7 linked regions of the Mus musculus genome follow. The protein of the gene in region 5 binds, or shares a complex with, the protein of the main gene of each other region. Links are inferred from orthologs where the notes say so. Each region holds a gene or a part of one and is shown on either strand. Other genes may lie near its edges. The genes, in order: Arid1a, Smarca4, Dpf3, Smarcb1, Smarcd1, Phf10 and Smarca2.

Region 1 (3,500 bases), on a different chromosome or scaffold from region 5:
AATTGGTTGCTCTGTATTAGATCACCCTGTACGGGGATTAGAGACACTCACAGGCAAGCTGGAGGGCCTTGACTGAAGACTCAGGTTCATATCTTCTTGCCCTCCCTTACTGGAGGTCATTGAGGGGGCTGAGGATGCCTGAGACCCAAATGAATCTTGAGAAAGCTCCTGCAAGGAAACACAACAAAGCTGTGAGGGCGGGCTGCTCCAATGGTGGTGCACACCTTTACATTCAGCACCTGGCAGGCAGAGGCAAGTTGGTCTCTGAATTCCACAGGAGCCAGGATTACACAGAAACCCTGCCTCAAAACAAGAAAAAAAAAAAAAAAAGACCAACCAACTAACCAGGTTGCAACTGGAGAGATAAATAAGCCTGTTTTTCCTGTAGAGCCAGCATCCACACAAAGGCTCAGAACTCACAACCAACTCTAACTTGTGTTCTAGAGGCTCTAACATCATTTCCTGCCCTCCATGCGCATCAGTACACACCAGGTACAAGGCAAACAAGTACAAAATACAAAGCACCCAGAGGGTGAAAGAGCTGTACCGTTCCTCACATAGGGCAGCACATGTGAGAAGCACAACTGCATCTATCATTTGAAAAGACAACACCTTAAGCAATGGCTCTTCAGAATGTTAAGAGTGAGTCTGATATGGCAGTGATCGACTGTGATCCCAGCACTAGGCAAGCTCCAACAGGAAGATAGCAAATTCAAGGCCAGTCTGGGCTACATTGTGAGACATTATCTCAAAACAAAAAGCACACAAACAAACAAACAAAACTTCCAAACAAATTCATGTCAACAGTGGCATTTGATAGAATTGTTTTTTATTTATGGTGACCCCAGAGGAGCCATTTCTTGGGGTTAAGGGCTGAAATCTAACCAAAATTTAGTATCTTATCAATAAGTGGACCCAACTAATTTTAAAAACAACCAAAACCTGATAGCACATTTACCCAATTTCTTTTTTTATATGGCAAAGCTCTCAAAACACCAAGCTTATGTAAGCTGCCTCTGGCGGAGTACATGGAGGGCAAGAGGCAGACCATCCGTCTGTCTTACCTGTGGTGGAGGGAAGCGCTGCTGGGAATAGGCAGTTTGCTGGGACTGCTGAGGCTGGGGCTGAGGATATGCAGCCTGCTGGGAGAGCGACGAGGATGCTGGCTGCTGAGGTTGCTGCTGCTGGTAGGGAGACTGTGCCTGTGGTTGTGAGTAGGGGGGCTGGCTCTGGGGATGCTGTTGTGTGGTGGACTGCTGGGAGGGATATGGAGTTGGGGACTGCTGATGTGGAGGCTGGGATGGCTGCTGGGAATATGGAGGCTGAGAGGACTGAAGCTGTGGTTGCTGAGTCTGCGGCTGCTGCTGATACGAAGGCTGGGCATGAGGGGTCTGGGATGGTGGTTGCTGGGCGTAAGGTGGCTGCTGCTGGGGATGAGGACTTTGCTGGTTATAGTATGGAGTCTGGCCCTGCTGGCCATACGCACTGGGGCCTTGCTGGCCATAAGGTGGAATCTGTAAGAAAGAAAACATCCTTTTAAAGTGACTCACCTCCATGAAGTTAGGCTCAGGGGCCTTCCTTCTACCACCCATCTAGAGACTAAGCTCTAAGAATGGTCAAACTATTGAAGACTGAATCCACTCACTGAAAACTGATGCTTCTTAATATTCACACAACTCATACGAGCTCAAGAACAGTTATTTTCCCCTAGTGAACATATTCTTTTCATCATGACCTAAATTGGTTTTATGTTAGGAATTTTTTCCTAACCACCATAAAGAGGCACTAGGAGCTTGGTTCAAACAACTGAAGACTCAGTGTTTAGTAGTGTGGATAGTATACAAATCACTAAGCTACCCTGGTACTCTTTCATTTAATTTTTATTTTAAAATTATTCAGGGGTGGGATAGAGAGATGGCTCAACAGTCAAGAGCACCAAGTGCTCTTCCAGAGGTCCTGAGTTCAATTCCCTAGCAACCACATGGTGGCTCACAGCCATCTGTAATAGGATCTGATACCCTTTTCTGGTATGTCTGAAGACAGCTACAGCATATTCATATATATTAAATAAATAATTCTTTTTAAAAATTATTTAGGGGCTATATAGCTCAGTGTATTTGCCTAGTATTCATGAAGTCCTCAAAACCACATCCACCAGGCAGGATGAAACTTGCCTCTGATTCTATTCCACTACTTGTAGCCTAGACACAGGAAGATCAGGAAGCTCATGGTCCTTTTGGGATATATTAGAGTTAGAACCACCCTGGAATGTAAGTAAGATTCTTCCTCAATCAATCAACCAATAAATAAATACAAACAAAAAACAAAAAACAAACAAGCAAACCAAGAAAAGAACTCCATGTCACCTCTCAGTTCTCTCATAGAAGGAAGATAGCTGAGCGGTAGTGGCACACACCTTTAGTCCTAGCACTCAGGAGGCAGAGGCAGGTAGATCTCTGATTTTGAGGTGAGCCTGGTCTATACAATGAGTCCCAGGACAGCCAGGCTATACAAAGAAACCTTGCGGAAGGAAGAGATGGGGGGGGGGGGTGGAGAGAAGAGAAGAAGAAAGAGAGGGAGGGAGAGAGGGGAAGATAAAGTAGGTGTGTTTCATCTAGTCGGTGTGTGTAACGATGTCCTTTGCTCTACAGTTTGTCTTTAGAAATCATCTCAGACTCGCTATACTGTCCTTTACTTTTCTGGTGTGTTACTCAGACATAAATGGCAGAAAATCTGCCAACACAAAAAAACAACAATGTCCTTTGCTATGAGACCTGGCATCCTGCCTTCACCTCCAAGTAAATAATACTGTAATTTTTTAAAAGGTGACTATGCAGGGATGTGGATGGAGCTCAGAGGCAGAGTCCTATCTAGTATGCTTGAAGCCTTGGGTTTGATTCTCTGCACTGAAAAACAAGCCAAATTTTAAAAAAAGCCCAGGATAGCTGGTCAGATGGCTGCGCTGGAGGAGGCCCCTCTGAGGCTTCACTGCACTGCTCACACAGGCCTGTCCTCTTTCTCTCCAAGTCCTTAAACATTCTCTTTGACCCAGGCAGCTTATCTTAAAAGTCTGTGAGAAAGAAGAAGAGCGGCCTCACCACAAGGCAGGCAGCACAGATTGGCCTTCGTACCACTTCATCTCCCAAGGGCAGACCAGCAAGATCAAGGGAAGACAGGGGCTGAGATAGATTGGGTTAAACCCCAAGATATGTTGAAACAGACATGGAACATACATACAATGGTGCGGACGCAGTTAAGCCAGCAAATCCATGGGCATCAAGAAGCCATTCTGACCTTATACCTCAAACACCAATTGTGGACAGCAAAAAAGCTCAAGGTAATCCATCACCTACCTGCTGTGCATAAGAGAGGCTGCCCATGGCACTCTGAGCCCGGCCCTGCATGGTCATGGGGTACCGCTGTGGAGTCTGGGACCCATATGGCTGCCCTGGGTACCCATGTCCTTGTTGCGGTCCTGAAGGAGGTCCCTGTTGTTGCGA
Region 2 (4,120 bases), on a different chromosome or scaffold from region 5:
TCATCCCTCCCAAGGACCACCCCTCTCCTGTCCCATTATTGCCTGCTGGAGACAGACAGAGCAGCAGCTGTGATGACATCGCTCCACTCCCAGCTATGGGGCCAGGGGAGACACATCTTCCCTAATTTTGAATGAAGATTCCTCCTTCATGCAACCTTCTAGACATGCCCACCACTGCTCCCTTGGGCAACCACTCTGTCCCTTCACAAGATAGGGTATGAGGCTTAAACGGCAGGCCAAAGGGTTAGAGAGATGCATACATACATACATACATACATACAATACATGTCTACCATGCACAGTGCCATGGATTCCAAGCTTAACAACACCCAAAACAACAAACAACAACAAAAAACCCACATTAATAAAAAAATAGCAAAATCAAAACAATGCTTGCAGGATACTAGCTTGGTGGAAGGACACTTACTTCCCTAGCATGTACAGGATCAACTTTGATCAACACCTCAAAAATTCAACACACTTAAGACTTAGGGAAAGGAGAAATGACTCAACAGGTAACTTGCACTGAAAACTGACTACCTGAGTTCAATCTCGGGAAACCACATGAAGGAGGGGAGAAATGACCCCGGCAAAGTCTCTCTGACCTCCACACACAAATAAATAAGGAATTGTAATGCTTTAAACTGCTTGGCACTGGTGGCTCAGTGTGAATCCCAGGCAGAGGCAGGCAGCTCTGAGTTCAGCTAGAAGTCAGCCTGGTCTATAAAGCAAGTTCCAGGACAGCCAGGGCTGCACAGAGAGACCCTGTCTCAAAAAAACAAATAAACAGGGCATGGTGGCACACACCTTTAATCCCAGCACTCAGGAGGCAGAGGCAGGCAAATTTCTAAGTTCAAGGCCACCTTGGTCTACAGAGTGAGTTCCAGGACAGCTAGGGCTATACAGAGAAACCCTGTCTGGAAAAACAAAAAACAAACAAAACTGAATTAATTAAAAAAAAAAAAAAACAAGGGCAGGAGAGATGGCTCAGTGGTTAAGAGCACTGACTGCCTTTTAGAAGGTCCTGAGTTCAAATCCCAGCAACCACATGGTGGCTCACAATTATCCGAAATGAGAGTCTGAAGACAGCTACAGTGTACTTAGATATAATAATAAATAAATCTTAAAAAATAAAAAATAATAAATAAATAAAAATAAAACATAAGTGGCCTTAAGGGCTTTGCTAATGCAAGAGTTTAATCCCAGTACTCAGAGGGCAGAGGCGGCCAATCTGTGTGAATTTGAGGGCAGCCGGTAACAGAGTTCTAGGACAGCCAGGACTATACAGTGAGAACAGAAGGGGGCCAGGAGAATCAAAACAAACCCAAAACTTCTTAATGAATTAATACACATGCAGGCCAAGGAGAAACGTCCCCATATTTACTGCCCATTCCCCTACCAGACATGTAACACAAAGTAAAAGATTCAACTATCTGCTGGACCAGTCAAGAACAAAGAACAGGGCAGGAAGCCTGGCTGAACATCATCCCAGCACTTGGGAGGTGGAGGCAGCAAAGTGAGGATGAAGCCAGCCTGGTCTACATGAGGAGCTGGATGTCAGCCTAGGTTATAAGAGTCTGTCTTCAAAATCAGAATAATGATGATGTAGGAACGATTTGCCTAGTTCTTCCCAATCCTAACAGCGAAAGTAATTCCCTTGTACAAAGGAGGAAACCAAGAGGTTTGGCGAGATTAGCGATTTCGCCTAAGGCCACACAGCAAGCTGACAGCAGCCGGCGCTGGGCATCAAACTCAAAGGCTGTCTGTCAGTTCAAACAAAAACTTGTTTCTAGTTCCTGAGGAGTCACTGGAGGTAAAAGGGATCAAGTAGATGTCTTCGGACCCGCACAAAACACTTGCCTTCGGTGTTTTAAAATAAAAAACCCTATCTTAAAAACTGGGAAGGGCCAAGGGACTCAAAAGAAAAACAATGCCGCCGAGAGCAAACGTCCCCAGGCATCTTTCACTTTTTAGGCAAACATTTTGAAGCCATGGAAGAAATTCTTTATTTTTCCTTCAAAATCTGCAATAATGAAATTTATCAAAAAAAAAAATAATAAACATGAAGAAAGTAAGGTCTGGAGACCGAAGAGGGCTCATGACTGTGTCCAAGCTACACTGGGCATCAATAACTGAGGTAAAAATGTTGCTCCCGACGCCCGACCACAGGGCATTGGGATCCCACCCGTTACAAACGAGGCCAGAAAAGCCCACGACACCTAGCCACTGTTCAAAGTTGGGGTCCACAGAAATTAAAGTGGGGGATCTGGATCTCTGAAACGCCAAAGGGAAGAAGCTTTGTCCAAGACCCTACGAGAACGCGCGCGCGGCCTTCACGCGGCCCAGAGCCACCCGCCTCGCCGGCCACAGTCAGGAAGCCGCCGCGGTCTCGCTGCACTGCGGCCTGAGACGCGCGCGCAGGGCTTCTTGACCCTCAGGCGCCGCCGTACCGCGACCCCGCTTTGGTCGCCCAGCTGCCCCCTCCCCCTCCCGGCGCCTCCGCTTCATTCAAACCGTCTTGCCCAAGCCCCGGGAGCCTGGTTCCGCCCGGGAGCCTCCATTCCTTACCTGGAGGTAACGGCGCCGTAACCTTCCTGGCGCCGCCCCCAACCCTCCACGAGGGGTCGGGGACAGAGTGGGCGTCTCGCTTCTCCTCAGGAAACAAAGAAGCCGTCTCCGCCGCTGCCAAGCGAGTGGGAAAGCCTCGCGCGCGCGCCCGCTGGGCTTCGCCAGGCCACCCCCCCCCACCGCACGCGCCCGCCGCGCGCCCCCGCCTCCCTGTCTACCCGCTCCACTTGCCCTGCTTCCGCTGCCCGGCCGGCCTCGTGCGCGCGCCAGCCCACCCTTCCGCTCTCTGCGCGCATGCTCAGCCATTCGCTGTGCGCACGCGTACTAGTCCTTTGAGGGCGCGAGGAGGTGGGCGGGCCCAGAGGCTGCACAAGATCCTGGTGCACCGCCCCTGTGGGGGGCTCGGGGCGGCTCTGCGCAAGCGCACATCTACCTCCCAGGCACGAAACTGGGCCTCAAGCCGGGAGGCATGCGCAGTGGGGGTAGCACTGCGGCGACGCTTAAAGGTTGGGGGAGGGGGTGGGTGGTCCAGATGGGAGATAGTAAGGATGAAATTAAAGTCCTCAGGCTCGGAGCAGTTGGAGCACCCAGGGAGGAAAGAGAAGCGGAGAGATGGCCAAGCTATCCCAGGACCGGCAGAGCCCACGCGGTGCTAAGTGCAGGCCCGGGAAACGCTTTGATCCTGGTTCTGGCGCTGCCCTGCCTGCTCTGCAAGACTCTGCCCTGGCCACATTTCCTGCAGAACCTGCTGAGGCCCAGTAATTAGCTTTACAAATATTTATTGAGCTGCTATCGGCTACTTGCTGCCCTCTATTACAGTCTGTGGGGAGGCAACCGAATGAATAAGTAAAATACAGAGTGTGAGGTAGAAACAGCCATATTCACAATTTAACTTCTGATTTCCAAGAAAGCCATTAGCCTTGGAGCATAGAACTCTGTCCAAATCTGTAGATTCATGCCTCTGGTTGAGTTTTTAAAATATTTGGTAGTGTTCGGGAGGCAGAGGCAGGTGGATCTCTTGAGTTTGTTACCAAGGTGTTACTTGTTTTTGTTGTGTGTCTTTATGGTTTGTTTGTTTGTTTGTTTGTTTGTTTTTATTTTTTTGGTTTTTCGAGACAGGGTTTCTCTGTGTAGCCCTGGCTGTCCTGGAACTCACTCTGTAGACCAGACTGGCCTCGAACTCAAGAAATCCGCCTGCCTCTGCCTCCCGAGTGCTGGGATTAAAGGCGTGCGCCACCACGCCCGGCTGTCTTTAGTTTTTTAAGACGGGTTTTCTTTGTGTAGCCGTGGCTGTCCTGGCACTTGCTCTAGACTAAGCTGGCCTCGAACTCAGACATCTTCCTTCCTGAGTGCTGCATGCATGTACCAATCCAGCTTGGTCTTTTACATAGTGAGGTTCCAGGGCAGCCATGGATACAAAGTGAGACCTTCTCTAAGTAAACAAACAAAAGGGTGTTTTCTGCCACAAAGAACAAAAAAGAATGTTTCAGGCCATTAAATCACTGGCCTGCTACTGCCTCTTAAACGCTAGGGTTACAGACCCAAGATACCA
Region 3 (4,082 bases), on a different chromosome or scaffold from region 5:
TAAGGCATAGCCCTACACAGGGTGGCATGAAAGAAACCCGAGCTGGCTTCTTCCCAACACCGTAACTACTGCTGCTTATCCCCAGGCCCAAGAGGAAATCTTTGTGTGACCAGTTTCTTCTGTAGGGGGCGTCCGTGATGTTGCCTTTTTAAGACGAGAAAGACTGCTTGCACCCGGAGAAAATGCTAATGCAGTTTGGAGCTCCGGTTCATTGTCAGGAGGGGCACACAAGGATAAACACATAAGCTCTCCAAGCCATTCTCCTCACTCCTCCTCCTCCCTGCCCCCCCCCCATCCATCCCTTCAGCTTGCTGGGTTGCTATGCTTTGTTCTAATTTGGCCCATGCATAATTTATTCACGTGTGTTTTGTTTCCTGATCAGCAACTTCTAGAAACAAATGGCATGTATAAGATGTTTTATTAAACAAGTTGTTTTTATAATAATAATAATAAAGCAGATGGCCTCAGTCTCCCGGTAACGATGTGTGTGCTCCTGCGTGCGGAGTTTTTAAAATGTCCAGGGTGCAAATAGCTTGACCGATTGGGGTTATTATTTACACCCTTAGCCCTCAGGGGAAGAGGACTGGATGCAAAAGGGGGCGGCTAATTATAAGTGACCATTCGACTTCCTCTGAGGAAAGGCAGACAGGGGTGTTGTGTGAGCGTCCGCGTGCGTGAGCCAAGACGGAGTTACAAATGCATCCCACGGCAAGTATTTCCAATTATTAAGGGATACAAGTGTAAATCTGAACTAGTTCTATTAACTGATTGGCCACCTTCTAGCTTCTCTGTTCCTTCTCCCCCACAATTTCTTATACATGCACTCTTCTGTGGAAAAAAAAAAAAAAAGTGGAAAGATCTGGGGGACCCAGGAGTGTGGAGCTCCTGCGCGCGCCCGAGCGTAAGCCCGCTCCCGGGCATCAAGGATGCCGCTTTGCCAATGAAGAACCCTGTACACATAGCAAATAGATCTCTCCGACTTGAGTTTACCAAGCAGCATCAGCTCGGCTACGTGATTTCGGCTGGAAATGAGGAAATTGCAAATCAGCTGTGTGTGGGTTCTGGAGAAACTCCCAGCCCCAGCGGTGTGGCGGCGGGAGTCGGCGAGGAGCGGGGAAGTTACGCCCATTTCTTCTGCCATAAAACAATTTCTCTCTTCGGTGAGACGCTGTCGCGAGTGCAAAGTAGCTGAGCTTCCGAACGAGAACGGGAGCCAGGAACTCGCATCAAGCTCAGCCTCCGTCTTTACAGCAATATCTCATGGAAACTCCAAGATCTGGGACATCCCTGCCCTATTCCTGGTTGTTGGCTGGTGCAAACGCAGCGGGTTCTCCCTACGGGTTTCTTGGCACTAGGAATCCCACGCACACTCTCTCGCCGCCGCCCTGCTGCTCCCCAAAGCGAACGGTGTTTTCGACTCCCATAGCCAGGGACGCTGTAGCGCGCAGCTAAAAGAGCCAAGATCGACCACTGACACACACCGGGAAGAATTGGCACTAAACACCCACGCTCACCCTCCGACTCCCACTGGCTTTCATCAGGGCGGGGAAGTCCTAGTACACCGGGCACCCACTGGGTGCCCACGCCGCGCCGCGATTCCCAAGGATCCACCCTCTGCCAACATGCCTGCCAATAGCGCCCCTTGAGAGCCACACTAGTTTTCCGAGGCCACCCCCGGCTCCGCGATCACCCGCGGACTTGCGGCTTCATATTCAGTCCACCGACTGGAAGAAGGAAGGAAGGAAGGAAGGAAGGAAGGAAGGAAGGAAGGAAGGAAGACCGGCGGGCAGGCAGCTCCGATCGGGAACCGGCCCCCGCGAGTCCTTGCGCAGCCCGCCCCCCTGTGTCCGCTCAAAGTCTCCGGGAGGCACCTGCCCCTCGCTGTCGCCAGAGCCCTCCACCGCCGCCTCCACCGCCTCGGCTTTTCACCCAGAGCAGGCAAGCACACCATTTATAAGACCTGCAGTTTCCCTGCCTCCATATCAACCCCAAGTTAACCCGGATCGTTAATTTACTAGAGCCAGTTAGCCTACAAATACACAGACACACCGGCGACCGCCCGGAGCGCCTGCCTGATCCCCGGCTGCCGGAGTGGAAAAGCCCGGGGCAAGCACCTGGGCCCCAGGACTCCCGGGACCCGCCGCTCCGCGCGCTGTCCTCCCAACTCCGGAAGGTTTACACAAACTCCCTGCGAGAGCTCGGAAGGCAGAGCGAACGCCCTGCAAAACTCCGCAGCCGCTGCGGTCCGTCTGCCCGCCTGGGTGGACGAGCAGCGGGGCCGGGAAGGTTCGGGCTTGGAGTGCAGGGCTCAGCCGAGCGCACGACGCGGTCTCTGCCCCGCGCTCCGGCCAGGCTCAGCCAACCCCGCGCTCTGGCCAGCCTCAGCCAGCTCCGCGCGGCGCCGGGAGAGGCAGGGGACTCCGAGAACCGTGAAGACCCGGGCTGCTCACGACCCCCGCAGCTCCTGAGCCGGCGCCGCCGCTCTGTGTTCCCTCCCGGTCCCGGTCAGCCAATTAAGCAGAACACAAATGTAACAATTTTCTTTTTGTTAATTGCATCTCCTGACATTTCTGCGCGCTGGGAGGAAAAAAAAAGATGAAGAAGTAAGAGCAGGAAGAAAAGAGGAGCCCGGGCGCAGCGGGAGGTGTCTGCGAGAGCCGGGCGCCGGCTGCGCTCCACAAGGCGCCTTTTTTTCATATTGAAACCACGCGGAATATGTACATTTTTTAGTCTTACTTACGCTTTCAGGGGGTTGTGAATGACAGTCGCCATTTTGCTACAATGTAACAGAATATTGTCTGTCTCAGAGTTCTAAAGGTTCGCTCAGGGGAAGCGGCAGGCCAATCAGAGCACGGGATACCGGCCTACCGGCCAATCGGCGCGGCTGGTCGCCAAGTGGGCGGGGCCTGCGTGGTGGTAGTTATTAGGGGAGCTGTCAAAGCCCAGAGGTCACTCCCTTTTGTAGAGCCCGAGAGCGAGCAGGTCTTAAAGGGGCAGTACCGTGTTAGTAGCGCCCTTTTAGATTGGAACTCGTGGAGACAACATGGGAGAGCATTCTCGCTTAGTTGGAGTCCCTACTTTGCTAAATAACTGCAGAGTTTGCGCTCCTGGACAAGAATATTTACATAGTGCCAACAAAACCACTTAACCCCATTCATTAGCTCTGGGCTTTGTAAATCACGGTTTTTAACCCCCGAGCTCCTTGTACACCACCGTGTTGCAGTGCAAAAAGTTGGAAGGCTGCAGTTTCCTCCAAGAAATTACTACTCGTGTTCCACTGTTTGCTAATAATGTTCTGGGTTCCGCGGCTGTTCAATATTCTTGTTCCCGAAGTGTTTTCTTGATCTCAGCCACCTTCCCCGGGCGGTTTCTGAGAACTGGAGAGTCCAGGACAGCAACTCCCTTCCTCCTGGAATGTCTCAGTGTCAGGCTTGCGGACAGCCACGGCTTTTGTTACGTAATTCACGGGTGGTCACTCCGCGCGGTCCCCTACGACCACCGTTCTCCACTGTCAACGATTCACACTGATCTGACATGGCCAGCTTGGGAGCGAAGTGAGACCTGGCGCTTTTTAGGCAGAAGGTTGGGGAAATTTTGAGGCAACTTTAGGAAACGCAGCTAGGGAAGTCAGTAACTATGCAAAAATTGTTAGAGCCTGAGGTAGGTGTTGCCTGAGTCCCCTCTGGGAACGGCTCTGAGAATTCAGGCGTCACCTTTCTGGACTAAGATAGGAGGTGAAAAGAATTTGCAAGTGAATGTTCAGACGTGACTCCTGGCTTCCCCAGTATGCGGCTGCTCAGAATCTGATAAACCCCAGAAGAAACTGAGAGACTTCTGCGAACTCAGACTTCCACGGAGCACAGGGAGACTCGGAGTGGGCGAAAACTCATGAAATCACTTAGAGGGCACAGGCATCGTTAGCTTATAGAAGCCGGGCTATGGCCCCCTTGGCTGTTTAATCAGGTCAAATAGCTGGGGGCTGGGAAGTGAAAAGGAAACCGAGAGATGCTGAATTGCAGTTCACAATTCCACCTGCTCTCGCCTTTTACGACTCTCGATGAATAAAGTAAAATACAATTACA
Region 4 (4,244 bases), on a different chromosome or scaffold from region 5:
TGCCGTGCCAATGACCTCAAAACACAAGATTTCCAGTGTAAGCATCTCAGATGCTTAAGAAAAGTAAAACCAGCCAAGAAGGCGCGCTCAGTGCAAGACCATGTGCTTAGCGTGTACAAGGCTCTAGGTTCCCCAGCATGAGAAATGAGAACTGAGGAAGACAGAGAAAGAGGGCAAGGGTCAGGAGGCAGAGCAAGCTGTCACTACACCTCCCGAGGCTCTTCCCACCTGACCAGGAGCTGTCTTTCAGTCTCTCCACCACATGAGAATTTTCTTTTCAAAACTAGGGCTGAGGCCAGATTTACCCCTTCACTGGTCAGTTCAGGTAAATAAACATCTTTGAAGAAACTCTTCTGCATAGACTATTTAAAGTCCTTAACTGCCATACGCACCACACCTTGCACTTGAGCAAATGCCTAGTGGCCAACAAGGACCCTTCTGAGCTGTGAGAGATGTCCCCAGCACAGCCACTGTGGAACAGAGGCACAGAGGTGACAGTGTGATCAGTCTTGGCGGCTTGAGTTTTTTGTTTAATGGAAGATGGTGAAAACGGAAACTCTAAGTCTGGATGTTTCTGACAACATTGGTCTCACAACCTGATTCAACCGACACACTAATAAAATGGAGTGTATGTCACTGAATAGCTGCCAGAGGTAACGGCTGGCAGTCTGAAATGCCATTAGCTCTCCAGGGTGGGCACTTACCTCTTTACACATGTTACATGTCTACTGGATGACATTCACACATCTGAATTTTATCTTTTTGTTATTATTATTCCTTTCAAGACAAGATCTCACTACGTAGGCCAGGCTGGACTCAAAATCACCCTCTACTTCTGCCTCCTGAGTGTTCAGATTAAAGGTGCAGCCCAGTGCACTTAATAAACAAACAAACAAAAAAAGAGTAAGAAAGAAAGAAAAAAAAATAAGCCACATAAACTGGGTGTAGTGACACCAAGTGCTTTGATCCTGGCACTCAGAGGCAGGAGGATTTCTGTGAGTTCAAGTGCCAGGTCTACAAAGTGGAGCTACAAGGCAGCCAGTTACACGATGAGATCTTGTCTCAAAAAGAAGGGGGGATGGGGCTGGTGAGATGGCTCACCAGTTAAAAGCACTGACTGCTTTTCTGAAGGTCCCGAGTTCAATTCCCAGCAACCACGTGGTGGCTCACAACCACCTGTAATGAGATTTGATGCTCTCTTCTGGGGTGTCTGAAGACCGCTACAGTGTACTCATAGACATAAAATAAATAAATAAATAAATAAATCGAAAAGAAAAGAAAAGAAAAGAAAAGGAAGGAAGAAAGAAAGAGAGGAGGGGAGGAGAGACATAAACTGGTTGGGGGTTGCCCTTAGATGGAATGAAGTTAGTTTGAGATAGACAATCTGCACCAAAAAAAAAAAAAAAAAAAAAAAAGGTAGAAAGAAAGAAATTTCAGCTGAGCAGTGGTGGCACACGCCTTTAATCCCAGCACTCAGGAGGCAGAGGCAGGCACATTTCTGCCAGCCTGGTCTACAGAGTGAGTTCCAGGACAGCCAGGGCTACACAGAGAAACTGTCTCGAAGAAGAAAAAGAAAAGAAAAACAAAAAAAACAAAAAAACACAAAGATTTGGCTGGTCTCTAGGGTTAATTGAAGGGATTTTCTAAGGTTGTGGTTCTCAACCTTCCTAATGCTGTGACCCTTTAATACAGTTTCTCATGTTGTAATGACCCCCTCCACCATAAACTTTTTTCGTTGCTACTTCATAACTCTAATTTTTGCTACAGTTACGAATCATAATGTAAATACCTAATATGCAGGATCTTTGATATGCGACCCCTGTGAAAAGGGTAGTGGCTGGCGCACAGGTGCGATCCTAAGGAACCCTGTCCACCTGACTGCACAGAAGCTGTCTCTTCTAGCTCTGGGTTCTGGGTTAGCGACCCTTCAGATTTATCCCCTATAAAAACTCAAAATTAGTTCACTGATCTCCAAAACGTTAGTGCTTCCGACCTCAGGGCCTCAATCCACTCAAAAGCAAACATGTCCAATCACTTTCTAAACATCATAAAAGCTCTCTGCAGTCCACCTCGCAAGCAACAACACAAAGGGGAAGAGGCTTTCCTAAGCTTCGGGCTTACAAGTAGAGATTTCGAGACCGGGGCAGTGGGGTGCACGAGAGCTGCCAAAGGGTTCAAGGGCAGTGTTGCACCTCCACTTCCAAGCGCCCAGGGGCTTCCCGAACATCCTTTCCCCATCTGCCTAGAGTGTACCGGCTCGACGCTCTAAGCTAGGACAGATGCTTAGGGTCTGAACAACGTTAAGTGGGTAAAGAAAACCCAGGACGGTCCAGGCGGGACCGGCCACGCCCACCAGGCCACGCCCCAGCTGCGAGCACGCGCCCGCCTCCGCGATGAATGGAGGCGCGCTCTCGGGGAGCACTAGCCCGCCCCGGGACTCGAGCCGGCCAGCCGCTGCCCGGGAAGCCGAGAACGCGCCGCGGGCTACCTCGGAGCCGATCATGTAGAACTCCCCGTCGTCCTCCAGCTGAAACTTGACGGGCTTCTGCCCGAAGGTCTTGCTCAACGCCATCATCATCATGGCGGCGGGGGAAACCGGCAGCCGGGGTCGAGCTGGAAAGAATCCGGTGGGCTAGGGCGGGGCCGAGGCGCGTCGGACCGAAAGGAACGGAGGCCTGGAGGTGAAGGTCGGGCAGGGCAAGCCGGGCGAACCGGGCGAGCGCTCGTGTCACTACTGGGCTCCTTGGCCGTCTCTGCAACGAGCAGGCCGCCCTCGGTGCGCATGCGTGGAGAAGCTGACGCTAACGTGCGCGCCGCAGCCTGCGCGACTCAAGGCCGAGCGCGTTCCCGCAAGCCCTTAAAGGGACCCGAGTTCTTTTTTGCTTCCTAGGCTTCCTCCCTGGGCGGGTAAGGAGGAAAACCTCTCAGCGACCGAAATAGCCACTGAGGCCCTGACTCAGGCGGTAGCTTTCCTAGTCGCATAGCCAGAGCTGGCACTCCGCCCCGGGATGAAGGAAAAAAATGAGACGTTAAGCGAGGAGAAGGACCGCTCTATCTGGAAGCCCGAGGGAAGCTGGGTGGGCATGGCGACCCCACGCTAGCGCCTCAGGTTTTCCACCCGAAAGTGCGTTAGGAATAGCTAGCTATCCACTCCAGGCCAACAGCAGTTCCCGAGGCAGTAGGGATGGGAAGAATGACAATACTGGATGGAGGTTGGTACTATTCAAAGATCTAGGTGATGTGCCAGATGAACGGGAGGAGGCACTTGCATTCCTTCCTTACCTCTGCAAGCTTGGTGCCCACAAGCCCAGCCCTGGTCTGTGCCTCTGCCCGCCTTGGGGCATAACAGCCCCGAGAGAAGACAGTGCTTCTGGAACGTGTCCAAGCAGTCCACCCCCTGTTGAACAGAGCCGTGACTCCAAAATGTTTAATGTTTATTGTAGCACTATTACAGGAGCTTAAGTTATAGCCTAGCCTAGGTAGCTATTCAACAATAGAGGAATGGATGAAGAAAATGTAGTCTAGGCTGGGTGTGGTGGTGCAAGCTTTTAGCTTCAGTTCCAAGACAGTCAGGGATATGTTGAGCAACTCTGTCCCAGAAAACAAAAAAGAGTGTGAAATGTGTGTACATGTGTTTTTTGTTTTTCAGCCACAAAAGTGAAATTACATTGTTTTCAGGAAAATGGATGCAACTAAGATATCATATTAAACAAATCAGGCCAGTCTCAGAAAGACAAATACGTTTTCTCTCATTTGTGCTTTCTAGATTTTCCTTAGATACATAAAATATGTATTCCACAGAACATTAAAGTAAAAGTGACATTGTGTATGGGAGCAAAGGGACTAACAACCTAGTGTAGGGGAGGTGGGGGCATGGTGGGATGTGCAAAATACAAACACTTCTCTGAAAGCAGCAGGACAAACAGTGGCCAGCTTCATAAGGGTCAGTCTAATGAGACTGCAATTGTGACTGGGGTCATGATGAAGGAGATGTTAAAGAACTAGGAAAGGCTGTGGTAACCAGGAGTTTGCCCACTGATCTCACAGCCATGGGAACCAGAGGGTTAAGGGCCAGGGGTGGCTCACACTTTTAATCCCAGAACTCCAGAGTCATAGGCAGGCAGACCTCTGTGGGTCCCAGGACAGTCAGGGATGTATAATGAGACCATGCCTCCCTCAGCTCCCACCCCCAGTAGTTAGGCATGATCTGATAAAATGATACTGCTTTTGCTGAGACAGCCAGT
Region 5 (4,182 bases):
TTTATCTGGACAGAACACATGACCAGCAAACAGCCCGGACTACCCACAGGAGGCTCTGGTTCTCCAGCAAAAGTGCACTCGAACGAGCTCACTTGCACAGCTAAATATAGTGCCAGAGCGCAGCACTGGGTGAGCATGAGCTGCTGGGTGGAGAGTTTGGGGGTGCTCATTAGTCTGATGATCCCCTTGGAGCAACAGAGAGCCAAGCCTTTGGGGGACTCTCACACTTAAACTGTGGTACCTCCAAGGAAAGTTGGGAACACAGAAATAACCTCAAGGATTCAAGGGAGGAAACATGGCCTCAAAGGCTCAGCACAGATGGGTGGCGGGCAGGGATGGGGACCACTGAGATCATCCACTGATACTGCTAAATCCAAAGGGCAGCATCACCAGGGCCAAGTCAACAGCAACCCAGACCCCAGGACAAAACCGTGCAGCTGAGGAAGCAGACACAAAGGACCATTGTCTTTGTATGCAGGGAACACAGCCCCCCAGCCCCCTCCCGGAAGCTCCCAGCAGGAGTGGTGAACTGCAGTCAGGTTTCCTGCTGAGCACACCGCACCAAGCACCCGGCACAGTGCCACCCCTGCAGCTCCCTCCCTGAGCACCAACCACAGTGGACCTTGAACTCACGTCCTCCAGGAGCCGGCCTTCTACCCGGAGCTCCCAGGAAGCCACCGTCCCTTCCCCATCCTCCGCGTCCGACTTAGCCGGATTGAACGTGTTAGAAATGAAAATTCGCAGCTTCCGTTTTTGCTGAGGAAGGCAGAAACAGGATCGACAGTGGAGCTTCGGTAGTAAAGGTCCCCTAAAACTCCCAAGTGACTCCTCACTGGCTGGCTCACTACAGGGGACAGAGACTCCACTCGGAAGTGTACAGTCCCGACCTGAGCCTGGGTGCAAGTGAATGCACCAGGGGACTAGGGAGACAAAATTGTGCAAAGTGGCATGTTCCCAAGGTAGCAAGTGGTTACAGCAAAAAGCGCGCACGGGTCTATTTCTGTCTAGAGCCCTGGATAGCTCCCCCCCAACCCCCCACCCCCGCCCCTTTCCCTGCCAGCTGTTAGACTCCTATGCTCCTAATGTAATTCCTGGTTTGTAGGCGGAAGGGAAAGATGCAATTTAAATGCCACAGAGAGCTGTGCTGTGCCTTTGATTTTTCCATCCTGAGCTGGAGAGAGACCTGGGCCCCTCCCTTGACCCTCAGCCTGGTACTGTCCTGTTACCTTGATGGGACGTTTCAAGGCCTCCTGGATATCTAGCCGCTTCCTCATAATAGTCTGGTCCAGTTTCCTTTCAAAAGCCAGGAGATCCATGTAGGCCTGTGATTCTGGGACCAGTTCCCGAATCTTAGGAACAGAAAGACAGAGATGGGATGGGGCAGCCCTCGTTCTGACCACTTCTATTCTCAAAGCCACTACCCCTTCAAGGAGACCTCTGCAGCTGCACTCACCCTTTGAGGTAGGATTTTGTCAGCCATCTTCTTTTTCTTTGCACTGTTCAGAATAAATACTGTGATCAGGTTGGGATAGGAACTAGTCAGAACGTGAGCAGTGTTGTGAGCACCTTTGTTTATGGTTACAGCCAAGGCCTACGAAATGACTCTCCATTTAAAGACGCTACCTCTCCCATGACCACCAAAACTCCACTGCATCATGAGGCCCTGTTAGTCCCTGCAGCACCGTTTGGTGCCACAGCGCTGACTTCCTGGTTCTGCATGCCCACCACCAGCATCCTCACAGGCCTCCTCTCCCCCATACCCTTCTTTCCTTCACCCCCAGGGGTCATCTTACTTGTGATTTCGATTTTGGACCGCCTGCTGCTGGACCTGCTGGATCTGTTGAGGTGCAGGTCTCTTGCGGGACTGGTCCATCCCTGACTGGGCCAGACCAGGTCGGACTGAAGGGTTCCCCCCATAGCCAGGAGGTCCCATGGAAGGTCCCTGAGGTGTCATTCGGCTACCTGGCAGCATACCTGGTCTCTACAGAAGGGAGAGGACCCAGAAATGTCATACTTTTCCTTGCTAGCCCCACCAAGAAAGGAAAAATGGTGGCAGCCTGGATTTCAGGAGTGGGTTAGGGCTGGGGGTGGGGTGGGGGGACAACAAGACAGTCCTTTGCTTCTTTGAAATACAGTCACTGGACCTTCAGTGATTTCATTGCATATAGTCTAAAAACTAGATTATACTCAATTTTTCTGGTCTATGCTGGATCTGACTCACCAGACATGTCTAGTCAGCCCTACATTTCTTTTTTTACTAGCTACTGTCTCCTCTAAAGCTGACCTCCATTTGCAGCTATAACAGCCTGGGTATTCCTGGGGACACGGGGGCTGCCCACTCCCCTCTGCATTCCATGACCATCCCAGGGCCCACTTCGCCCACCCTGGTTCCACACTCACTCCTCACATGGAAACAATGCCGCCAGGAGCAGGTAAGGATGCTAACCTCCTCCCCCCCCACACACCTCCACTCCCGGCCCGAGCCCCTCCCCAGGGAGTCCCTCCCACTTCTCCCTCACCCCTGTCAGTCCTCCGCCCTCGCTCGGCCCCGCCCCCGGCCCGCGCGCCCCTCCTCCTGTCCCACTCACCGGATAGGCCGCCCCGGGCATCGGAGAGCGGTACAGCCCTTGACCCGGCGCCGGGCCCATTCGCACGGGAGGCCCGGGAGTTCCGCCCGGGCCCAGAGCAGCCGCCACGCCCGCTCCTCCTGAGGCTCCCGCGCCGCCGCTCGGAGCCACAGACTGGAAACCCGCCCGGGCCGCCATCTTCCCGGAGCCGCCGCTGCAGCTGCACAAAGAACCGGAACCGGAACTCCCCCCGCCCCCCGCGCGCCCCCCGAGCGCCTGGGCTGTTTGTGGGCCCGGCCCGCCGGCGGGCACAGGCGGCTCGGAGCAGCGAGACTACGGGCTAGAGGGGGCGACTAGCGGGAAAGGCGTGCTGACCACTCCCTCCCGCCTTCACGGGCCAGGAGGGAGCACCATAGAGAAGCGGTGTGCGGATAAAGAGGTGCCGGGAGCGAGCGCCTCCACGCGGTTGGAGGACGGTAAAAAGCCTTGCAGAGAGCCCAGCCCATCCGGCTGGCGGCTGGAGTGATGCTTCACCTTGGCCCAGTGCATTTACCTCTCCAAAGCATTCTGGTTGCCTTGCTTTTCGTTCTCCTACTGCTCAGACTCCGGGTACTAAAGAGGAAAACGTGCTGTTTGTTCGTTCGGGAAAAGTAGAACTCGAAGGAGATCAATGTCGTGGCAAAGACAAATCAGCAAGAGAAAACCCATGCCGGGCCGTGGTGGCGCACGCCTTTAATCCCAGCACTTGGGAGGCAGAGGCAGGCGGATTTCTGAGTTCGAGGCCAGCCTGGTCTACAGAGTGAGTTCCAGGACAGCCAGGGATACACAGAGAAGGCTCGGGACCCTTCACCTCAGACGTTTAACTTAAGATTTTGATGCGTTTTTTCCCGTGACTTTTCTCCAAAGAGTCCTGGATATTTGTTGCCATAGATAACTGCTGGTCCCCTGCCCAGTGATCAGACGAATCCTGAGCCTGTCTTTTCCCAGCAGGATCAGTGTTTACCTGATCAAGTATGTAGGGTCTGGTGTAGCCCAATCTAGCGTTAAACTCACTGTGTAATGGAAGATAGCTGCTCCATCTCCTACCTGCTGGAATTACAGGTATAACCACCACACCGGGCTACCACTCAAATTCCCTTACTCTAGTTGTGTGGCTCTCAAGGCAAGCTCCATTCTAAAGGTAACACCCACAGTTTGCAACTAAAAACAGCACTGGGCAGGATAATGGCAGCTCAGGCTTTTAATCCCAGCATTTTGGGAGGCAGGAGGATCTCTGTGAGAGTTCGAGGCCAGCCTGGACTACAGAGCCGTTCCAGGACAGCCAGGGCTACACAGAGAAACCCTGTCTCAAAACAAACCAAACAACAAACAGAAAACCAACACTGAAGAGATGGTTGAAACCCAGTTTATTAGACCAGAGGCATGCGTCACCCAGAGCCCCTCCTGCTGCCCCCCCAGCCAGTGTACATTTCTCAGCTTTGCCCTGTTTCTTTCTGGGGAGTTCTGATCTCTAAACAACTCTTGAGAACCAAGAGGTCTCAAAGATGCCAAAGCCTTGCTCTCTGGCTCCAGGCCAACGTACACAGGTGATCTGCCCATAAGTCCTGTTTTGGGA
Region 6 (3,958 bases), on a different chromosome or scaffold from region 5:
ACATCAATATAAATCCTGTCCAAACACCATTGGACAATTGGCTTCCATTTCCAGGAATTCCCAATCCTGTGTCCTGCAGGTGACTGTGCTGACTCTGTCATATGATTTTGGGAACCTTCCCTATGTTCTCCTTGCCTGACTGGGTTCCGTTCAACCTGAGTGCTGCTGTGACTTTTCCCGTGGCCATGGGGGCCACTACGCCAAGGTCACAGGAGAAGCAGTTGTAGAACAAATGAGCCAAGAGCGCCTTGGGGATCCTGGGGTGTGTGGAGTGAAGATGGAGAGGTGGGGTGGAGAAGTCAGAAAGGACTCAGGAGAAGGGGATCTCAAAGAGGGAGGAGGCGGAGCTCCTGGGGTGGTTGACCCTAAGGGCTGCGAGAGAGGAGGAAGTGGGCTGAGGACACTAATCCTTCATTTACAGAAGGGAGCGAGGACCCTGGTGGAGAAGGGGAGGTCGCCGCGGCTGTGGAGACCCCGGGCTGAGAGGAGGGGCTGGGGACCGGTAGGGGTGGGGTTGGTGGGAGGATACCGCGCGGTAGGGACCCTCAGCTAAGGTGCTGATGATCGGGAGTGGGGAGGACACGGCGGCGTGGTGGCGACCCCGGGCTGAGGGGAGGAGCTGGGTACGGGGGAGGGATTGGAGAACAAGCGTGGTGAAGACACATCTTTGAGGGGAGGGGCTAGGGACCCAGGTGGGGACAAGGCAGGCACCGCCGACTGAGGACCCCCGGCTGACGCGCAGCGGAGGAGGGGAGGGGGCGGGACCGCGGCGGGGCGGGGCGGCGCGGAGCCGCGGCTGACGCGGAGGGCCGGGCCGGGGGCGCAGGGAAGGGGCGGCAGCGAGCTCGCCAGGCGGCCAGGAACCCGGGTGGGGCCGGGACCGAGGCGGTGGCTGGCCAGCGGAGCTCAGGCCGGGCGCGGCGCGCCGGGTGAAGGCGGCAAGGCGGCAAGGCCCCGGCCGAGGCCGGCGGAGCCGCGCAGCTGCGGCCGGCTGACGTGAGCGGCGTGCGGGTCCCGGCCGGCAGCGCGCTGGCGGCCATGGCGGTGGCGCTGGCGGGCCGCGGGGCGCGCGGCGGCAGGGGCCGGCCCCCGGGCGGGCGGGCGGAGGGGGCGGGGCCGGGGCGCCGGGCGGCCCGCGCGACAGCGGCGGCAGCGGCGGCGGCGGCGGCCGCTGGGACTAGGCGAAGGCGGCGACGACGACGGAGGCGCGGGGCGCTTGGGCTGATGGCAGCGGCCGGGCCCGGGGCGGCGCTGTCCCCGGGGCGGTGCGACAGCGACCCGGCCTCCCCCGGAGCGCAGTCCCCAAAGGTGAGCGGAGCGCGCTGCCCAAGGGGCAGCGGCCCAGGCCGGGCTCGGGAGAGAAGAGGAGACCGGGCGGCGGGTCCTGGAGCAACAAGTGCGGCGGACAGTGGGCGCGGACGTCGGGGAGACCTGCGCGGCGGGGTGGGAAGTTGTCCGGGAATAGCTGGGACCGGGGGACTCGGGAAGAGTGCTTGAGACGAAGCGCCCCCAGCCTGGGAAAGTCGGAAAAGTTGGCGGCCTTGGGGATCTCAGTCGGGGAGACGCTGAGCGGGACGTGCGCTCGGGGTCCCGAGTTGGCAGAACGTGGTTTCACACCCACAGACCCGGCCAGCCGAGGTGGCCCCCGCCACGTGCCGGTCCTCCCTGGTGGGGTCTCTGACTGCTCGCAGGGGGCTGCTGGCTCCCTGTCCTGACCGAGGATGGTGCGGAGGGGAGGGCCTTACCTGGAACGTAGCCCTTAGGATTCCTACAGTTGTGAGCTGGTAAACTCTGTGTCAACTTCCGTTATTGTTTCTTTTCGAGAGGATCATTGTTTTTAAGTAAAAGTATTGACATACAGAAATCCTTAAAATGTCCACAAATTAATAAAATAGTGCTTAAAATTAACGGTGTCAAGCCAGTATGGACCATGAATACAGTGAAAAACATACTAAGAAATTTAATTATCTTTCAACTTCTTGATTGTTAGCTTTAAAAGGGAATATTAAGTCTACTTGATTTCATTCTTGAAGAGTGAAAAGGGGAATGATTTCTATGTTCTTTTTTAATTTGGAAAGTAATTTTAGTAAATTCCTAGGTGCTGGAGACATAATGAAATATAAAGTCACTGCTAATCACAACGTTAACATATATCAGACAGCTATGTGCTACCTGGCTCTTATGTGATCACTTCACTGCATCCTTGCATCAGCCACCTAGGCTTTAGGACTGGGGAGAAGCTTGCAGCACACAGCTGGTGGAGGGCAGTGCTCAGTAAGATTCTCTGGCAGCCCGCAGTGCCATGCTGACTTGGCATGCTAGCCTGTGCTGCCTTTTCATTCCCTTCCGTGGGCCTTTATTGAAATTTATAGTAAGAGTAGTAGTGTTAGGAGCTATAGTACCTTGATTTAAAAAAAAAATAGGAGTTTAAGCCTATTAATTAACGTAATGAATTGTTTTTAAAACATTTGATTACTTATTTCCTTAATGGAATGGCTCAACAACCTATATCTCCTATGAGTTTATCACAAAGTGTTGAATTTCTGCCGCAGAAGAAAAGGAATGTAGTTAGACGTGGTAACCTGTATCCAGTCCTTCTTCATCTCCAAAGTAGCTAATTAAAATGCGCCTCCGGGGGGCCAGTTGTAAGCTGAAGGGTACTATGAAACTTACTAGTATTTATTTCCCAGCTCAAATAGGAAGGCTTGCTTTGATTTTTAAAGTGGTGTGGCTACTAAAAAGCAGATGTTTGAACACAATCTAGTTGGTAAGAAAGTGAAAGCAGAGTACATTTAAAATACAGTTGAAAATTTAATTTCATTTCGATTAAAGGTCAGATTTTAGTTTTATTCATTCTTAAATTTTCTAATTTTTTAATCATTTAAATGTACAGGATGATAATGAAGATAACTCAAATGATGGGACCCATCCATGTAAAAGGAGGCGAATGGGCTCAGGAGACAGCTCAAGAAGTTGTGAGACTTCAAGTCAAGATCTTAGGTACTTTAAGGTTCAGTAGTAACTTTCGTAGACTTTTGCTCACTTCTTCTTCTCCTGCCTATTCCAGGCAGCAGAAACAGTTATTAAAAATTATATGTGTTGGCTGGAGAAATGGCTCAGAAGTTAAGAGTGCTTGCTTAACTGGAGGTTGGTTAGCAGCCCCACATCTCATCTCATAAGCTCCTGTAAACTCTGGAGGATCTCATGGTCCATTCCGGCCTCCACAAATGTCTGTATAGAGAGCAAACAAACAAATCTTCTAAAAAAGTCATATACTATCAAAGTAGGTCTCACTCCTGATAACTGTTAAAAAGTTATGGTAAAGTAGGTATATAAAACTCACCATTGTAACACTTTTTATATATAAAGAGTATATTTCAGTACAACCATCACTCTCGGCCCTTTCCAAAACTTTAGTAACTCAAACTGCCTAACCCTCCAGTACCTCCCATCCCTTCCTGCCTCCAGCTGCTGGTTACCACAGTTCTACTTCCTGCCCTGAGTATGAACCAGACAGTACCTGCCCCGTGTTATCTGGCTTACCCATAACCATAGTATCTTCAAGGTTCATCGTGTTGGAGCTCCTTAAGTCTGAACAATATTCCATCGTATGTTCTGCTACATTGTGCTCATTCACCTGCAGGCTGGGGTAGTTAATGCTGAAGTGAACACTGGCATTCAGACCCCTGTTCTTAATACTCTGGTATATAACTAGAAGTAGAAAGCTGTACCACACGTTGATTCTGTCTTCAGACTTTTTAAGGACCTTCCATACATTTCCATAGCAGTAGTACCAGTCTGCATTTCCACCAACAATACACCTTGCAACATTATTTTTGCTCATTTTGCTGATAGGCGTCCAGAAAGACATAAGGTGATCACCCACTGTGATTCTGTGTTGTATACCATGGCTAGTGGTGCTTGCCGAATATTTTTTAGGTGCTCTTTGATCATTTGA
Region 7 (4,002 bases), on a different chromosome or scaffold from region 5:
AATGATTCTGCACTACGCCCTCGCTCTCTCCCCTCCTACACCATCCTCCTTCGCTTTAAACACCCCCAAGGGCCCCCGCGAGAGAGTGGACCGCTTGGGGTGTTTATTTTCTTCGTGGAGTAAATCCTGCGAGAGTTGGAAGCACATTTAGGCCCGAAGTTTGAACGTGCAACAGCCGCAGGGCACAGCGACTCACTCTCTCCGGACCTGGAGCAGAAAGAACTGACCACGCCAGCCACCCGCGAGGCCTCCATCTCCCCCGCGCAGTGCCTCCCGCTGGAAAGTTTTCCCTGCAATCGATTGCCTGCCTGACTTTGCACGGAAGGCGAGCCAAAGATGGGAGGGGGGTCGGCAGAGAAAGACCTAGAAAGCTCAGCGGGCGGCGGCGGCGACAGCGGGAGGAGCCGGCTCCTTACCTGGGCGACGCTGAACGGCCAGGGCTCTCGAGCTGGCGCCGCCCGGGGCTGCGAGGGAGCGGTGTGCACAGCGCGGCTTAGGCCGGCGCCCGCGGCCCGGCCCCCGCCACCTCCTCTTCCTCCCTCGCGCGCGTCATGTCACGGCGATCAAACACGTCTGTGCGCTTCGCCGCGGTGACTTCCTGATTCTCCGCCGCTCGCGCGCGCCACGCACTCGCCCTCGCCGCCGCACGCACCGCCACCGCCTCCCGCCGCCAGACCCAGCCGGCTCTGCGTCCGGCTCCCGGGAGTGCTCCGGCTAGAGACGCAGCCCGCGCAGCTCGCCACTCACTGGTCCCTAGCGCACTGCACACTCACGCCAGCCCGCCGCCCCCTCCAGCCCCTCCATCCGACTTGCAGCACTGCCAAACTTTTTTTTTCCGGGTTGATTGGTGTCCAACTTCCCTCCGCCCCCATCCCCCAGGCAGCCCTACCAGCCCGGCGCTCACCACTATCCGCAGCGAATAGCAACCGGTATAAAAAAATAATAATGTAATCCAGGCCGCAGGGGTGAATGCAGACACCCGCACCCGGCGATCTCCTGCAGGTACCGGAAACCAGCGTGAGCGCCCGGGCCGGAGCGCGGGTGTCCCCTAGAGTCCTCAGCGCTGCGCCCCGCCCGGAGCGGTGTCACTGCGTCCAGGCTGCGCGGCCTGGTGCGGGGCACCGGGGGGCACTGTGCTGGTGTGCGCTTGGTGGCTGGAGGGCGCCCAGGGGCTGGCGCGCTGGACCGGTGATTTGGGGAAGTACATCGCGACACCTATGCAGATGGCGTGGCCCTGTTTTGCAACGCCAATGGGAGGGGAGGCAGCCCAGCGATGGGGGAGGAGGAGGAGGCAAGGGAAGGGGTGAACTATGTTGGGATGGGAATAAAGCAAACTCGAAAGCAGGGAGCAAGAAGGAAGGGGTGAGTGTCATCGCTAGGAGGAGGCTCCCACCGGCTCTCCCCGCCTCCCTCCTTCGCCACCCCCTGTTTCCTCCCCACTGCAGCCCTTCCCCTTCCCGGGCGAACGCCGCGGCCGCTGCCCGGGTGCGTGCGGGTCCTGTTGTGACAGTCAGGCAGAGAGGATTATCCGGATCATGGCCTCCCCAGCCCTCAGCCGCCGTGGCTCTCCCGGGTCCCTGTGCGCCCCTGACACTCAGACCATCCCAGGCGCCCCGCGTCTGCAGCTTCCTCGGCGCTTGCCAAGGAAAGACACCAAGCAAAAGAAAACAAACCCAGAGAGGGGAGGGGAGGCTAACAGAGCCTAGTGGACACCTCGGACCTCTTTCCTTGGGGCTTCCTTCCACCCTCTGTAATGAGACCCGGGCTGGACACCCCGAACTTCAACATCCTAGCCCGCGCTGCCTCTAGGTACCAGACAAGAGGGTCCGCGGCGCCACGGCCATAGCCCCCGGGGCCAACCCTTTCACCTAAAGGCCTGTCACCAATCAACATTCCCTTCCCTGCCCTAGGGAACCCCGGGAGTGGAGGTGACACCTCGGAGCCCCAAGGCACCAACCCTGTGGTAGTGGCCGCCGCCCGCTCAGTGCGCCATCCCAGACTACTACCGCCAAGATCTGCTCTCGTCCCCGCAGCCGGAGCCCTTTAAACAAGTCCCCGGGAGGCGAATAGCAGCCGTGTTGGTTGGCGCCCTGCCGCCAGCCCGGGCTCCTCACCCTCCTTCCCTCCTTTCCTGTTCCCTTCCAACTCTAACGGGGAGGATGGCTCGGGGTGAACTGTCGCGTTTCCAGTCCCCCGCCTCCCAACCCCTCCGCCCCCCGGCCCGGAGTTCCCAAATCCCCCTCTCCTCTTGCCACTAGCCCTCCCCACCTCTGCTTTTTAGGGGATAGGAGGGGGGGGGGGATGCAACCTGGCGGAGAGTGTGTTGCAACCCTGAGTTGGCAGCGCATCACTGTCAACCTGCCCAGGGTCAAGGCTGTGACATGTTGGGATTTCTTCTCCTTGCCCCCTCGAAGTAGTAATTATTACTGTTATTATTAGAACGGCGAGGTTCGGTTGAAACTTTGTTTCTTTTATCGCCACCCGGGAGCTGTGGTTAGAGCATTCCACCTGAGGCCCGCGGGGAAGAGGCGGGCTTTTTTGTTGTTGTAGCGGTTGGCCCGCCTGTTTGTTTTGGTCTTCCAGCATGCACAATAAATAATGATTAGGATAAGGATGCATAATCCGGGGCGAAGGCGGCGCGGTGCCCAAGGGGTTCGGCGGCCGCTGCGGCTGCTGTAAGGCCGGAGCCGTGGAGAGAAGAGAAAGGAGTTGTAAGTTATATTTACCTTGCTCGCGAGCAGTGTGCTGGCTGAATCTTCCCTCTCTGAGTCACCCAGAGTACAGAAACAGAGGGAGCGAGGACTAGATTATGAATATGACTTCATTGATGACAGCCGTCCCCTCCTCTTCCTAAACTCGGGCTCCGCCCCGCGTCCCACCCTCGCCGCCTCCACGGGCGCCGGAAGACGCGCCGCAGTTGGCCCCGCGAGCCGCTCCTCCCTGCCCGGCCCGGCGCGGGTTGGTGGGACGCTCCTGTCACTCGCCCTGCTCAGCGACTCCGGGAGCGCGCGGGGGGAGCAGGGGGCGGTGTGCAAGAATGTGGATCTAGACAGCTCTACTGTATGCGTGGATCTGTGTGTGTCTGCGAGGCGCCGGCTCTCCGCCGTGTTTGTGCCTGGAGCAGAGAAACTGCGCAGGACAAGCAACCAGCCCGCAGCCCTGCTGGACTCGGGAGCCGCACATCCTTTAGCTGGCAGTAGCCTTCCGAGCTTCTCCGAGGAGACTGGGGGAACCCCCCGAAGCGAAGGGGAGGGCAGCCGTAGTAATCGAGCGTAGTAGTTCTGGGGAATGTGGAGACCGTGCTGGAATTTAAGTGTGCCTGCGCCTGCCAGCTCGAGCCTGCAGAGAGAAAGGGAGGGGACGGCGGGGGCAGGGCTCCGGGTGGCACCAAAGCTGTTTGTGGCAGTGTTGGCCGCGGGGGTGGGAGGGAATGGGCATTATCATACGAGCTGAAACTTTTTCGACCCCCGCCTCCTCCCCGTTTCTCTCAAGGCTGTCATAAATTTGCGTTCTTCCCACCCATCCCCAGCCCCCAGTGAAAAGGGAGGCGGCACAAAGAGCGAGCTTGCCAAATCTGTCTCATCCCTAAAGGACTGCAAGCTTCCAAATGCCAGAGAAGAGAAACAGCTGAGAGGCCGGCCGCCTAGTAAATAAATAAACCCAGATAAACCCTCCTAACCCCTCTGTTTACTTCGGAAAGGCACGAAGCACTTTCACCTCCCCTCACCTGTCGTCTTCGAATAAAATATACATAAAAATGTGGGAGGAGAGAACGACCCGCGAGGGTAGGGCGGGAGAGTCAGGGGGCAGCTGAACCATGGGATCTGCTTTTGATTTAAAAAGGGAAATAAATCTCAATCTCTACAGACCGAAGTCTCCTCTCTCTTCCACCCCACATTTAAGACCAATTAAGGCTACAAACTGCAATTTGCCTGCACGTAGTGGTTTGGAGAGCTAGTGTTTCAGTTTTCCTTGAAATACAGTATGTCTGCCGGACCCTAG

What was found.
Region 1: Smarcd1 (region 5) and Arid1a share a complex: the UniProt entries of both Homo sapiens proteins name them as parts of the neuron-specific chromatin remodeling complex. The link is inferred for Mus musculus from reciprocal best matches to the Homo sapiens genes SMARCD1 and ARID1A.
Region 2: Smarcd1 (region 5) and Smarca4 share a complex: the UniProt entries of both Homo sapiens proteins name them as parts of the BAF complex. The link is inferred for Mus musculus from reciprocal best matches to the Homo sapiens genes SMARCD1 and SMARCA4.
Region 3: Smarcd1 (region 5) and Dpf3 share a complex: the UniProt entries of both Homo sapiens proteins name them as parts of the BAF complex. The link is inferred for Mus musculus from reciprocal best matches to the Homo sapiens genes SMARCD1 and DPF3.
Region 4: Smarcd1 (region 5) and Smarcb1 share a complex: the UniProt entries of both Homo sapiens proteins name them as parts of the BAF complex. The link is inferred for Mus musculus from reciprocal best matches to the Homo sapiens genes SMARCD1 and SMARCB1.
Region 6: Smarcd1 (region 5) and Phf10 share a complex: the UniProt entries of both Homo sapiens proteins name them as parts of the neural progenitors-specific chromatin remodeling complex. The link is inferred for Mus musculus from reciprocal best matches to the Homo sapiens genes SMARCD1 and PHF10.
Region 7: Smarcd1 (region 5) and Smarca2 share a complex: the UniProt entries of both Homo sapiens proteins name them as parts of the BAF complex. The link is inferred for Mus musculus from reciprocal best matches to the Homo sapiens genes SMARCD1 and SMARCA2.

The regions. Positions count from the first base shown.
Region 1 is NC_000070.6:133,719,486-133,722,985, forward strand, and holds part of Arid1a (AT-rich interactive domain-containing protein 1A), read right to left. Parts: coding exon 3,354-3,500; intron 1,515-3,353; coding exon 1,065-1,514; intron 169-1,064; coding exon 52-168; intron 1-51. UniProt on the Homo sapiens protein: Involved in transcriptional activation and repression of select genes by chromatin remodeling (alteration of DNA-nucleosome topology).
Region 2 is NC_000075.6:21,614,849-21,618,968, reverse strand, and holds the start of Smarca4 (transcription activator BRG1), read right to left. Parts: upstream 2,801-4,120; 5' UTR 2,569-2,800; intron 1-2,568. UniProt on the Homo sapiens protein: ATPase involved in transcriptional activation and repression of select genes by chromatin remodeling (alteration of DNA-nucleosome topology).
Region 3 is NC_000078.6:83,484,937-83,489,018, forward strand, and holds the start of Dpf3 (zinc finger protein DPF3), read right to left. Parts: upstream 2,801-4,082; 5' UTR 2,773-2,800; coding exon 2,741-2,772; intron 1-2,740. UniProt on the Homo sapiens protein: Belongs to the neuron-specific chromatin remodeling complex (nBAF complex).
Region 4 is NC_000076.6:75,918,815-75,923,058, forward strand, and holds the start of Smarcb1 (SWI/SNF-related matrix-associated actin-dependent regulator of chromatin subfamily B member 1), read right to left. Parts: upstream 2,801-4,244; 5' UTR 2,582-2,800; coding exon 2,489-2,581; intron 1-2,488.
Region 5 is NC_000081.6:99,700,905-99,705,086, reverse strand, and holds the start of Smarcd1 (SWI/SNF-related matrix-associated actin-dependent regulator of chromatin subfamily D member 1), read right to left. Parts: upstream 2,801-4,182; 5' UTR 2,766-2,800; coding exon 2,589-2,765; exon of another isoform or gene 2,297-2,588; intron 1,982-2,296; coding exon 1,794-1,981; exon of another isoform or gene 1,585-1,793; intron 1,497-1,584; coding exon 1,454-1,496; exon of another isoform or gene 1,350-1,453; coding exon 1,227-1,349; intron 757-1,226; coding exon 634-756; intron 1-633. UniProt on the Homo sapiens protein: Involved in transcriptional activation and repression of select genes by chromatin remodeling (alteration of DNA-nucleosome topology).
Region 6 is NC_000083.6:14,958,461-14,962,418, reverse strand, and holds the start of Phf10 (PHD finger protein 10), read left to right. Parts: upstream 1-1,158; 5' UTR 1,159-1,224; coding exon 1,225-1,308; intron 1,309-2,893; coding exon 2,894-3,000; intron 3,001-3,958. UniProt on the Homo sapiens protein: Involved in transcription activity regulation by chromatin remodeling. Belongs to the neural progenitors-specific chromatin remodeling complex (npBAF complex) and is required for the proliferation of neural progenitors.
Region 7 is NC_000085.6:26,603,958-26,607,959, reverse strand, and holds the start of Smarca2 (probable global transcription activator SNF2L2), read right to left. Parts: upstream 2,801-4,002; 5' UTR 2,727-2,800; intron 2,712-2,726; exon of another isoform or gene 1,911-2,711; intron 1,810-1,910; exon of another isoform or gene 1,450-1,809; intron 1,387-1,449; exon of another isoform or gene 905-1,386; intron 819-904; exon of another isoform or gene 417-818; intron 1-416. UniProt on the Homo sapiens protein: ATPase involved in transcriptional activation and repression of select genes by chromatin remodeling (alteration of DNA-nucleosome topology).